3 linked regions of the Drosophila melanogaster genome follow. The protein of the gene in region 1 interacts with the protein of each later gene in a pairwise test. Each region holds a gene or a part of one and is shown in the gene's direction. Other genes may lie near its edges.

Evidence for each region. The genes of interacting proteins can lie anywhere in the genome.
Region 2: the proteins of CG7786 (region 1) and CG15185 interact in a two-hybrid assay, tested with the Drosophila melanogaster proteins (one large-scale study listed by BioGRID).
Region 3: the proteins of CG7786 (region 1) and pck interact in a two-hybrid assay, tested with the Drosophila melanogaster proteins (one large-scale study listed by BioGRID).

What each region holds. Positions count from the first base shown.
Region 1 is NT_033778.4:16,233,818-16,236,456, reverse strand, and holds CG7786 (uncharacterized protein), read left to right. Parts: upstream 1-1,520; coding exon 1,521-2,099; downstream 2,100-2,639. Other genes in the region: CG15701 (uncharacterized protein), read right to left, coding at 2,471-2,639.
Region 2 is NT_033777.3:6,525,582-6,529,182, forward strand, and holds CG15185 (uncharacterized protein), read left to right. Parts: upstream 1-1,926; 5' UTR 1,927-1,947; coding exon 1,948-2,976; 3' UTR 2,977-3,093; downstream 3,094-3,601.
Region 3 is NC_004354.4:1,468,650-1,472,833, forward strand, and holds pck (pickel), read left to right. Parts: upstream 1-2,016; 5' UTR 2,017-2,146; intron 2,147-2,198; exon of another isoform or gene 2,199-2,218; 5' UTR 2,219-2,335; coding exon 2,336-2,414; intron 2,415-2,490; coding exon 2,491-2,699; coding exon of another isoform or gene 2,700-2,758; coding exon 2,759-2,954; intron 2,955-3,008; coding exon 3,009-3,295; 3' UTR 3,296-3,676; downstream 3,677-4,184. Other genes in the region: CG32808 (uncharacterized protein), read right to left, coding at 81-449, 512-997; CG14778 (uncharacterized protein), read left to right, coding at 1,169-1,304, 1,366-1,448, 1,508-1,690, 1,753-1,911; CG14780 (uncharacterized protein), read left to right, coding at 3,917-4,167.

The sequences.
Region 1 (2,639 bases):
GCCAACCAATTCAAACCGATTCCAAAACGTACTGCTTTCTATATGTGTGCATTTCGAATCCATCTCGCTCGACCCTTTGATGGATATTAGACTGCCTCCAATTCTCCAGACATGTCACTCCGGCACGCAATCCATTATTTCCGGGTTCGGCTCTCAGTTGGGCCAAAACACCATAAACGAAACATCGGTGGCATGACAGTCAAAGGGTTAACTATGTATGGCCCAAACTTTTGCCAACAGATAATAAATTAGCGCATACATTATGAAACGCCATAAGGATGCGACTTCCGGTTGCCGGAGACGGCAAGGACTCCGTGACCCAAACTGCCAATTTACCACCCCGGCAAACAAACAGGTGACACTTTCTCAAACCGAAACGAAACGGAACGGGTTAAAGACGACACACGGAGTTCATTTACATGTCGATGGTTGTTGGATATGCATACGGTGGTCTTGGATGTCGTGAGTGGCATTGTCGGAAGGCAAGTAAAATTTTACGATTTTGAAGAATCATGCTTGATCAAAATAAAGTTGGTAACAACTTTTTGATGTCTTAATAATAGCGGATTAGGCATATTGCAACTTTCTGACGCTGCAGTTTTTGGAGCTCAGCTAAAAAGGAGCAGAAGCTATTCCTCTTAGGACTATTGAAATCGATTGGTACACGCTGGAAAAATCCTTTAAGTCTCAAAAAACCTCGGAAATAAAAAGTTCACATAGAGCAATTGAAGATATATTATGCCTAGAATATCTGATAAAATGATTTGGAGTGATAGGAATCTACAAGAACTATCAGTTTAAGGATCAAAAAAAGTATATCTATTGTATAATGGTTCAAATAAGATGGCTTCATTTTAATGTAATGACTAAAAATTGCATATTCATGATTTACATTTTACATTACCCCATGTTTTGCTATATAGTAAGATATCCTAAAGGATAACTTTCAGTGAGTGCAAGTAGGCTTCCACCACGCCTCTTTCAGACTATTACCGCTGTTATCGCTGTTATATTCGTCCACAAAATGCCGGTCGATAGCCAAGGGTCACTCTCATTGGTCAGCGCATGGACAATGGGTAAGCCTTACTATCTCCGCCCCAACACATAACAGTTGGTCAACTCCAAGGGCCAAGAAGTGATCGGCGAGCGGGGAGAGGTGGACTGGACTGGGCTGGGGGCATGTAATCTGGCTAACCAGTTATATGAAGTCCTTGTAACCGGGCAGCACAAATAAATGCCATGCGGCCCCGGCCAAGTGTCATGTATTTGACGAATAATTACCGTCAACATTGCGTGATTGGTTGAATCAGCCGGCGATGGAGGGTTGTGGCTGGCTTAGAATTAGCCCCAAAGCGGGTGTATGTGTGTGTGTGTGTGTGTACGTGGGGGAGTTTGTGTGACAAGAACCTATAATTACCACGGCAGGCAGGTGGTCGCCTCGCCAGTAGCTAGCTTCTTAGCCAGGAGCTGGATTCAGATATAGCCCGGCCGTCGGCGCGAACGGAAGTCACCGATATAGGATGCACTCGCCCGCCCAGTCGCCCATTTTGGATGTCACCGAGACCGTATCGATGCACTCCGAACTGGATGCGGAACTGGAGTCCAAGAACAATCCGTCCTACTCCATTTCCATTCCCCAGAATCTTCGGCTAACCGGTCTGGGCTTTCCCGGCATGATCGGTGCCAAGAGATCGTCGGAAACTCTACCCGCCTTCGAGTATATCGCACCACCAAGTCACGCTCTCCAGGCACTGGAATTTCCGCTGATGGAGCTCAATCGTGTGGGCGTAATTGGAGGCGGTATGTTTCCGGGTTTTGTGCACCGTCGCGTCCGCGGTGAAAAGCGACCCATTCCGGAGGCTCAAAAGGATGCCAAGTACTTTGAGCGGCGCAAGCGAAACAACGAGGCGGCCAAGAGGTCCAGAGATGCGCGGAAAATCCGCGAGGATAGGATAGCATTCCGAGCAGCGCTGCTGGAGCAGGAGAACTCCATTCTGCGGGCGCAGGTCCTGGCGCTGCGGGATGAACTGCAAACGGTGCGCCAGCTCCTCGGAGCCACAACAGCCGGCGGCATGTTGTCCATGGCCAGGCAGGTGTGAACCACTCTGCGGGATCAGATGGAAAAGTGTACATATCAATGAGGGAAGCTAGTGAGATTATTTAGTTTGATGTTAATAAATGTTTAAAATAAATACTAAGGATATTCTAATAATATATGTATGCATATGCAGGTGTCCCTTAAAAAAATATGTTATTCAGATATATAAATATTGGCCCATCTATATAGAGTATTTTGCTAGTGCTAGTACTATAGTTCTATAAAGTCATATATATATCATTTATATATCACAAATTGTGCAATAGAAACCATTAAAATTGATTAAAAGTGAGTAGGACTAGTTCGAGTTTATTTCATTTTAAAAAATGATTTCAACAAACGCATACAAATAATTAGAAAATATTTAACAAGCTAGTAGTCCAGAGTGCGCGACTGCACCTTTCCAGTCGAGTCCAGGATGAGCAGAACCTGTTCCTGTCCACAACTTCGAGCACCGGCAATGTCCGTCACCTTGAGGCGTGTGTCCATGAGCTCCTCCACGGGTAACTCTCTGTCGCGATAGAAATCGTAGTGACGCACA
Region 2 (3,601 bases), on another chromosome or scaffold:
CTCGAAGCAGAGGCTCTTTGGCATTAGCCACCATCCTGTGCTCCTTGATCCTGGCTCCTTTCAATGGCTCACCTTGTGAGAAGAGCATATACAATGGGTACACCCACACACGCACACACCACCCCACTTCGTCGCATTCAGACTCTCACTTATTAGAGGAAAAGCAGGTGAAACCCATCCTTAAGGCGGTGACGTTGCACTCGGAAGTCAGTCTGAATATGCAGCCCAGAAAATGGCAATAATGAAATCAAAATGTGAATGCCCTTTGCATTTCCTACTTACAGTTTGACCCTGTTACGAGCCAAGCAAAAGCAAAAGCTACAGATGAGCCTGGTCAGCCTGCAGGCACTTCCTTTGCCTGCCACGCCCCCCGTTGAATAAGCCCTCATTAGTCCCCCTTTCGAGAATTATGCGGCTTCGCAGCGTTGGCTGCTGCATTAAATTTGCATTCGAAAGCTGCGTTCGAAAGTTGAGACAAATCCTTGCCAGGCATTCGTTATGAGGATTCTTTTAGGGCCGCAGGTCAAAGCAAGTTTGGAGAAGCTTATTCAAATTATCAGATTTAGATACGAAGAACTCTCTCAAAATGGTAAACTAATATAAGCCAAGACTGTGTTAAATGGCAAAAAATAATCTTAAAGCAAATAGTTTCGTTAATAAAAATTTGATGCAATGATTGGGCTTTACAAACTTTTTTTAATCATATCCCCCTTCACTTGTTAATTTTTTTTGTGAACTCTACACAACCACTACTCTCCGCCTCGCACAAGAATCGGCAGTCTGCAAAGTATAGAGTTCTTCTTTTGACATTCCTATGGCGACTTGACCGCAGGATGTTTGTTACACTCGTATAACTTAAACCCCTCCAAGTACGAGAATGGCGCGAAGAAACGCCACATAACTCCATTAGGATTTTTAGGACAAGTTCGAGTCCCGCATATGTAATTAAAATATGTTCAAGGATCTCTGAATCTCTCAAGTAACGTTCAAGTAACTTACAGTAAATTAAATTTCACTGGAAAATAATCAATAAATGAAAATGAATGCTATAGTTCCAGAAGAACGAACTACATATATTTTGTTTCTATTACGTTTCCTAATATACATACATGCATGCCAACAGATTACGAACTTTATCCGTTTTATTAATGTTCTGGGCTACTATTATTGTAAATCTCTCGATGTTCCCCGTTTTAATTTATTTGCCAGACACAATGCGGTCGACAACAATTGCAGGACGTCGGCTGTCCTAATGGAAAATGGCCGGATCAAACCCTCAATCCTTTCAGTCACGTTTGTCCTTGTTGCCTCGCCTGGAATTAGACAACGAGTCGACCTTGACCCGACTGTTGACTCCATTGTCCACCCCGTTGGCTCGGATGGCTTAATTTTATATTTCCGTTGTAAATACACCCAAAACTGGTTCCATTCACATTCCGACACTAATGTTTTAACATTTCATTATTCGTTTTTCAAACACCAAGCTTAAAATATTTCTACCACTCAGATGATTGTTGCACTATTGCGTTAAATTGATGATTGTTAAATCTCATATTTGGTCAATTTGCTATTCATCACCTCTGCTTTTAAAATCGATTAAGCAGTGTTGTCATCTTATAAAATTGAGATGTGGAGAAAACTCTTAAGAAACTAGTTCTTTCGTAAACAATATGGCCGTGTTTATAACTTCGTGTAGCAGGCTTGTAAAAATGATAACAATCGCTGTTAAATTTCCAAGGAATCACATATTTAACAGTGTATGAAAAACGCAATATTTGTTTTTTCTAACTTTACAAATTAAATTATATAACTAATCCCCAATATCGCCATTCACCCAGAAAAATAGTTTTATCGATAAGTGGGTATCTCCATCCCTGGCTATAGCACGTTTCGGAAGAAAGTTTTTTTTTGACAATAAGATAATTAATACTATAAATAGCTTATACAATGGATACCCACATTGTTTGTGACCAAGTCTTTATTGCGCATGCTGAAGATGAATTGTTACTTATTTACGACAATGAAATTAATTTCGGGGAGGATCCTGCCCCAATCTATGATGACGTCTGGCAAAGCGAAGAGGACGTGACCCCAGAAGAGATTCTAGCCGACGTCAAAGACTACGGAGCTTTAGAGGAAGTAATGGACACTCCTATAATTTACGAAATCTCGGATAGCGAGAATGAAATGACTCCAGAAGAGAATTTAAACGAGGTCGTAGACCACGATTCGAGGAAAAAAAATGTCACTTACGATGTAGACGTTTCGGCCCTAATCCAGAATACCGAGCTCTTTCAACCAGAAAAACTTATGGTCTACATTCACGGTCCAAATTTCACGTTTCCAGATTCGGGATTCTTTGCAGAGCAGGGAGATAACTTGAATGCAAACAATGTAACCTACAAGACGATCGCGTCTGATACTATTAGCCATTCACCTGGAGAAGTGACCGATGTGACAGGCGTAATCTGTTATCACAGCCATGACTTCGTCTTCCAGGCATACTCGCCGCCATCGATCCCCAGCTTGCATGCCGACCATTGTCCTCGTCACTTCAAAACCTCACGAAACGTCTTCTGGGCCGAAATGGAGGAGGTGTCCTGCATCCTGCTGCATTCGGCGGCCGCCTATTTAGAGGCCCCCGCTTATGTGCACGACGACACGATTGCTTTTGTTGCCAAGGGTCTCGCCTTGGCCAAGGAATTCATGACCGATGGGGAAACTCCCCAGAGCAGACCGCAGAGCATCGGTCGCCTGGTGGCCGCCATTGTCATGGACAGGAAGTCGGCCGTTGTAATGGCATATGCCGTGAACCACTTCGTTCCTCAGACCATGACCGATGACAGCACAGGCGAGGTGTTAGGCATAATGCTCAATAACGTCATTCGCGGATTTGCCATCAACGACCACCTCCGTCGTATCATTATCAAAAAGACCTGCCCCGTTCTTTCCGTGGTGAACCAAATTCCAAACTAATAGTTCCCCGGCATCGCATCGAATCAATTTCATATTTTCATCATATCATCATGTGTGGCTAGTTTGAGCATTTGGGAAGGTAACACAAGAATAACCAGAAAACTGAATATAAGTGATAAAATAACGGTTGTCCTTGTAACTTTTAAGGTGTCTGTCAATTTTTTAAAATTAAAATATACAGGCTTTGTTTTAACATGTTGTTATCAGAAATGGGTTCCTATAATGAACACTATGTGATTATTTTTTATTAATCATATAAGGTTTTAAAGATAAGAAGAGAAAATCAAAAACTGTCCCGTCAGTGAATTTTGAAATGTTTTATTTTTAAGATGTATGGGAAAAAAACTAGTAATGATAAATAATTCTGTGGCTTAAAAAAAAAGGCATTTTAAGCTTAGATTTTCAGATAACTAAATGAATGCTTTAAAATGTGGTTTGCATATAAAAATTTTAACTATTTTGCACATTGCTGTATGTACCAGATGTATAATAAATCTTGCTTATGATTAAATAAATAAATAAATGAATAATTTTTTTTTAAATTTGTACTTACCATAAGTGTTGGACTTTTTTTTTCTTAAACTCCAATGAAAAGACTTCTTTAAGTTATTCAATTGTATTATTT
Region 3 (4,184 bases), on another chromosome or scaffold:
TCCCAATTGTTAGGCCAATTGTTGAATTAGATAGCGGTAGCGTATGTTAATCCGTATTTTAATGGGGCCTGTTAAATCCATTAGCTGCTTAGGCTAGGCGGGGATCGTCCCACAATCAGCTGGCCCACCCAAAGCGACGACGGGGGCGAATAGCTATTTACCGTCTCTACAATCCAGTCCACGTAGGCCGACACCTCGGTGAAGACGCCCGGAAACGGTGGCCGTGCACAGGGCTTTATGCTCCAAGAAACAATGCCCACCTGGGTGTCGGAGCCAATAAGAAGCAGCGGGCCTCCGGAGTCGCCGCTGCACTGGCCTTTTCCACCTTCGGGCAATCCCGCACAGATCTGGCTGTCGTGCAGATAGGTCTGATGGCGCTCGCTGCACTCGGTATCGCTGAACACTTGCAGTTTGACCTTCTGCAGATGCTGCTGGACCACGCCGCCCGTCTACAATTGAAAGGTTCAGTCGATAGTCAAGGAGTCTGAAGGAGGAATGGCTTCTCTCTTACCGCATTTAATCCCCAGCCCGCGAGGACAGCACTGGCGTTTCCGGGCGTGACTTGTCGAGGCTCCGGCAGACGCACCGGCTGGACAAACTTGCTCAAAGCGACGGACTGCGCTAACTGCAACAATGCGATGTCGTTGACGTACTTGTCCTCCGGCTCGTACCCTGGATGGACGAAGATGGCGGCCACGCGGGCCACCTGGCTGGAGTTTCGCGCCAGCATCTGGCTGCCGTACTGCAGGTCGAGCTGCTCTGGCGAGGAGCCTCGCACGCAGTGGGCGGCTGTCAGGACCCAGTACGGGTTGAGCAGCGTAGCGCCGCAGGAGTGACGTCCGCTCTTCGCGCGTCGCAGCGAGACCACAAAGGGAAACTCCCCCGGGCCAGCTGTAGTGCCGTTGACGATTTTTCCATCCTCGCCAGAGGCTCCTGCCAGAAGGAAGGTTGCCGTGTAGAAAAGTGCGAGCCTTGCTAGCCAAGCCATGACGGCCATCTATGTGCACGGTTCACAGGTAGAGCAGGGCAATTTATGGAATATTGGGGCCCGCATTCGCTTGTGGGTTTTATGTGGGTAGAGCTGGCCATGCAGTTGTGGGCCTGAAGTATTAGCCATGCTAATGAGATGCCAACCGCGCGATTGTGACTCCGCAGGGCCGAGATTGCGATGGCGGGCCCACTTTTGTGGCAAAACTTCAAGGTGTTCGTCACCCGCTACCCGATTATGCGCGGCATGATATCGTACAGCCTGATCTGGCCCACGGGCAGCCTCATCCAGCAAACGGTTGAGGGCAGGCGCTGGGGTGAGTCGGCATTCTTTCGAGCAGCTCTCAGCTCCTTATCCTTCTCGTCTTCATCTTACAGGCACCTACGACTGGTGGCGCGTGCTCCGGTTCAGCATGTACGGTGGTCTGTTTGTTGCTCCTACCCTCTACGGATGGGTCAAGGTTAGTGACCGTTTACATGGCTGCTGTTTAGGTCTACTCCTATTCCGATTGCTCCTCAGATTTCCAGCGCCATGTGGCCGCAGACATCGTTGAGGACGGGCGTCATTAAGGCGGCGGTGGAGACGATCTCGTACACCCCCGGCGCGATGACCTGCTTCTACTTTATCATGAGCCTCCTGGAGTCCAAGACGGTGGAGCAGGCGGTAGCCGAGGTCGGCAAGAAATTCCTGCCCACGTACAAGGTACTCTTTTGGGATTCGAGGGAGAACTGCCGCCTAACCCACCAATTCCATCGCTCTTGCAGGTGGCTCTGTCCGTATGGCCACTGGTGGCCACCATCAACTTCACCCTGATCCCCGAGCGCAACCGGGTGCCATTCATCAGCGCGTGCAGCCTGTGCTGGACCTGCTTCTTGGCCTACATGAAGCACCTGGAGCACCACGAGGTGGACGGGGCCATTTGATGGACATGATCGTATTTCTCAAACAGCATTAAATAAAATAGTAATTATTGAACGAAATGAATGGAATTAAAAACCAAGAACGGTATTCTGCACTAAGTACTGGTCACACTGGGCTCACCTAGGGGTGAAAAAATATCGATTGTGCATGGGTTTGTTTTATATTTAAACAGCATTTTGCAAAATAGCCCCTCTTTCCGAAGATCAACAAGCCTAAAGTAATAAATTTAATAAAAAGGTATTTTGAAATAATTCGCGGTATATCGACCGAGCCCCACCACATTTCTTATCGACACTGTCCCATCGCTAGCCCCACCTAGTTGTTGCTGCATTTTTTGGGTGTGTGCGTTGTATTTGTTTACTGACAATCCCCAGAAAAGAAACTCCTCTGCTCCAACTGCGATCCCTCGAGACCCAGGACAGCAGCATGCGCGAACTTAACAAGCAGCAGTCGCAGGACACCACGGACTCGGGCGTCGAAAAGGGCGACTATCCGCGGGCCACCAGTAAGTGACGCACTCAAGCATGCGGGCCGATCTGCATTTGCATCCAAATACTTTCAATGCCCAATTCCCTTTCCAGATGGCGTGGTCTTCGGCGCCATAGTTACATTCGCCAGCTTTTTCGTGCTGATGATGTCCTTTTGCTCGCCGTACTGGATCGAGTCCTACGAGGAGACGCGGGCCAGCTTCAAGAACATGGGCCTGTGGCAGTACTGCTTTAAGGACTTCGTGTACCCCAAGTACGCGTTCTTGAAGCAGTTCACCGGTTGCCACAACATCTTCTCGCACGTGAGTACAGCAAACTGGCCGGTTCTTATCCTTGTCCTGATCTTCTCCCACTCGTACAGGAGTATTACGTTATCCGTGAGTATCTGCTGCCCGGCTGGCTCATGGCGGTGCAGGGCTTCGTGACCATGTCCTTCATCATCGTGTTCCTTGTGCTGGCCCTGCTCTCGCTTACCATCATCCGACTGCCTCTTAAGGCCGTTCTGCAGTACGAGTGGCTGCTCGTCCGCCTCTCCTACATGGGCACCGCCATCTCGTGTATGTATCTGCCTCCCGCCCAATAAGTACTAGCTAAACAGCGGTCTCCCACAGCTCTGTTCATGTTTTTGGCCGTATGCATCTTCGGGGGCTGCGCCTACCGCCGCGACTGGATGATGTACCCCAAGTTCAACGTGCTGGGCTGGTCCTACGCCCTGGCCGTTGTCACCTTCATGCTCCTTGGTCTAGCCGCTCTGATCCTGCAGCGCGAGGCCCGGCAAGCCTACGACGCCCGCGGCGAGCAGAAGAACCTGGTAATGCAAATGGAGATGCAGGAGCCGGGTTACCAGCCGCCGCGCCACCACCACAGCCAGTCGCGGAGCCTGCAGGGCTACATATAACAGCTGTCCGCCCGACTTCCATACATTCCGTTCCGATTGGATCTTAGCTTAAGTTTTCAGACGCAATCTCGTGCCTCGAATCTGCGCAATCGACGCCGTCCATAGTGCCTTTAACAATCGACCATATGTATCTATATACACGCCGACTCAGCCGAGATCAGCTCGTATCCGTTTGTAATTGTATTAAATAGCACGTACAGCTAAACGTAAGATCAGTGCGACCAAAAAGATCCACTAACTTTTTACACATCTACCATTATACTTTTTATATAGGCTCAAAAATGTTTACAGCTTAAATTTTTAGACCATATTCCACCTTTTATAAGCAAACTGGTGTAGAGACATATCAACATTGAATTAAATGTATTATTTGAACTTGCGAAGCTAAACGTACTGATCAGATTGATCATCTCCGCCCTGGTTTCCCCATCATGACCCCCAGCTACATGTTCCTGGTGATGAGGTGCGGATGTGATCTACACCTAATATGTTTATGTTTGCCTTATCGAACTGATAGCGCCTCCGCTGATTGCCAATTGTTAGTTTGGGCTGCTGGCTCCCAGACTCGACCCCTCGATTCAGTGAGTTTCGTGCGCTCTGTTTCTTCTCATCTGATCTGCGATGACTCAGTTTGGCCTGCACGGCTGCAGCTACATTCTGTTCTGGTTCCTTCTCGCCTGCGCGGCGGCGGACCTTCAGGAGAATCAGCAGTCGCGCATCATCAATGGAAGCGTGGCCAAGGCGGACGAGACGCGCCACCTGGTCTCCATCCGCCTTCTCCGCCACGACAACAACTTTGGAAGCGGCCACATCTGCGGCGGGGCGCTAATCGCGCCCAGAAAGGTTCTGACCGCAGCGCACTGCCTGTACAAGTAAGTAGTGATCCCAC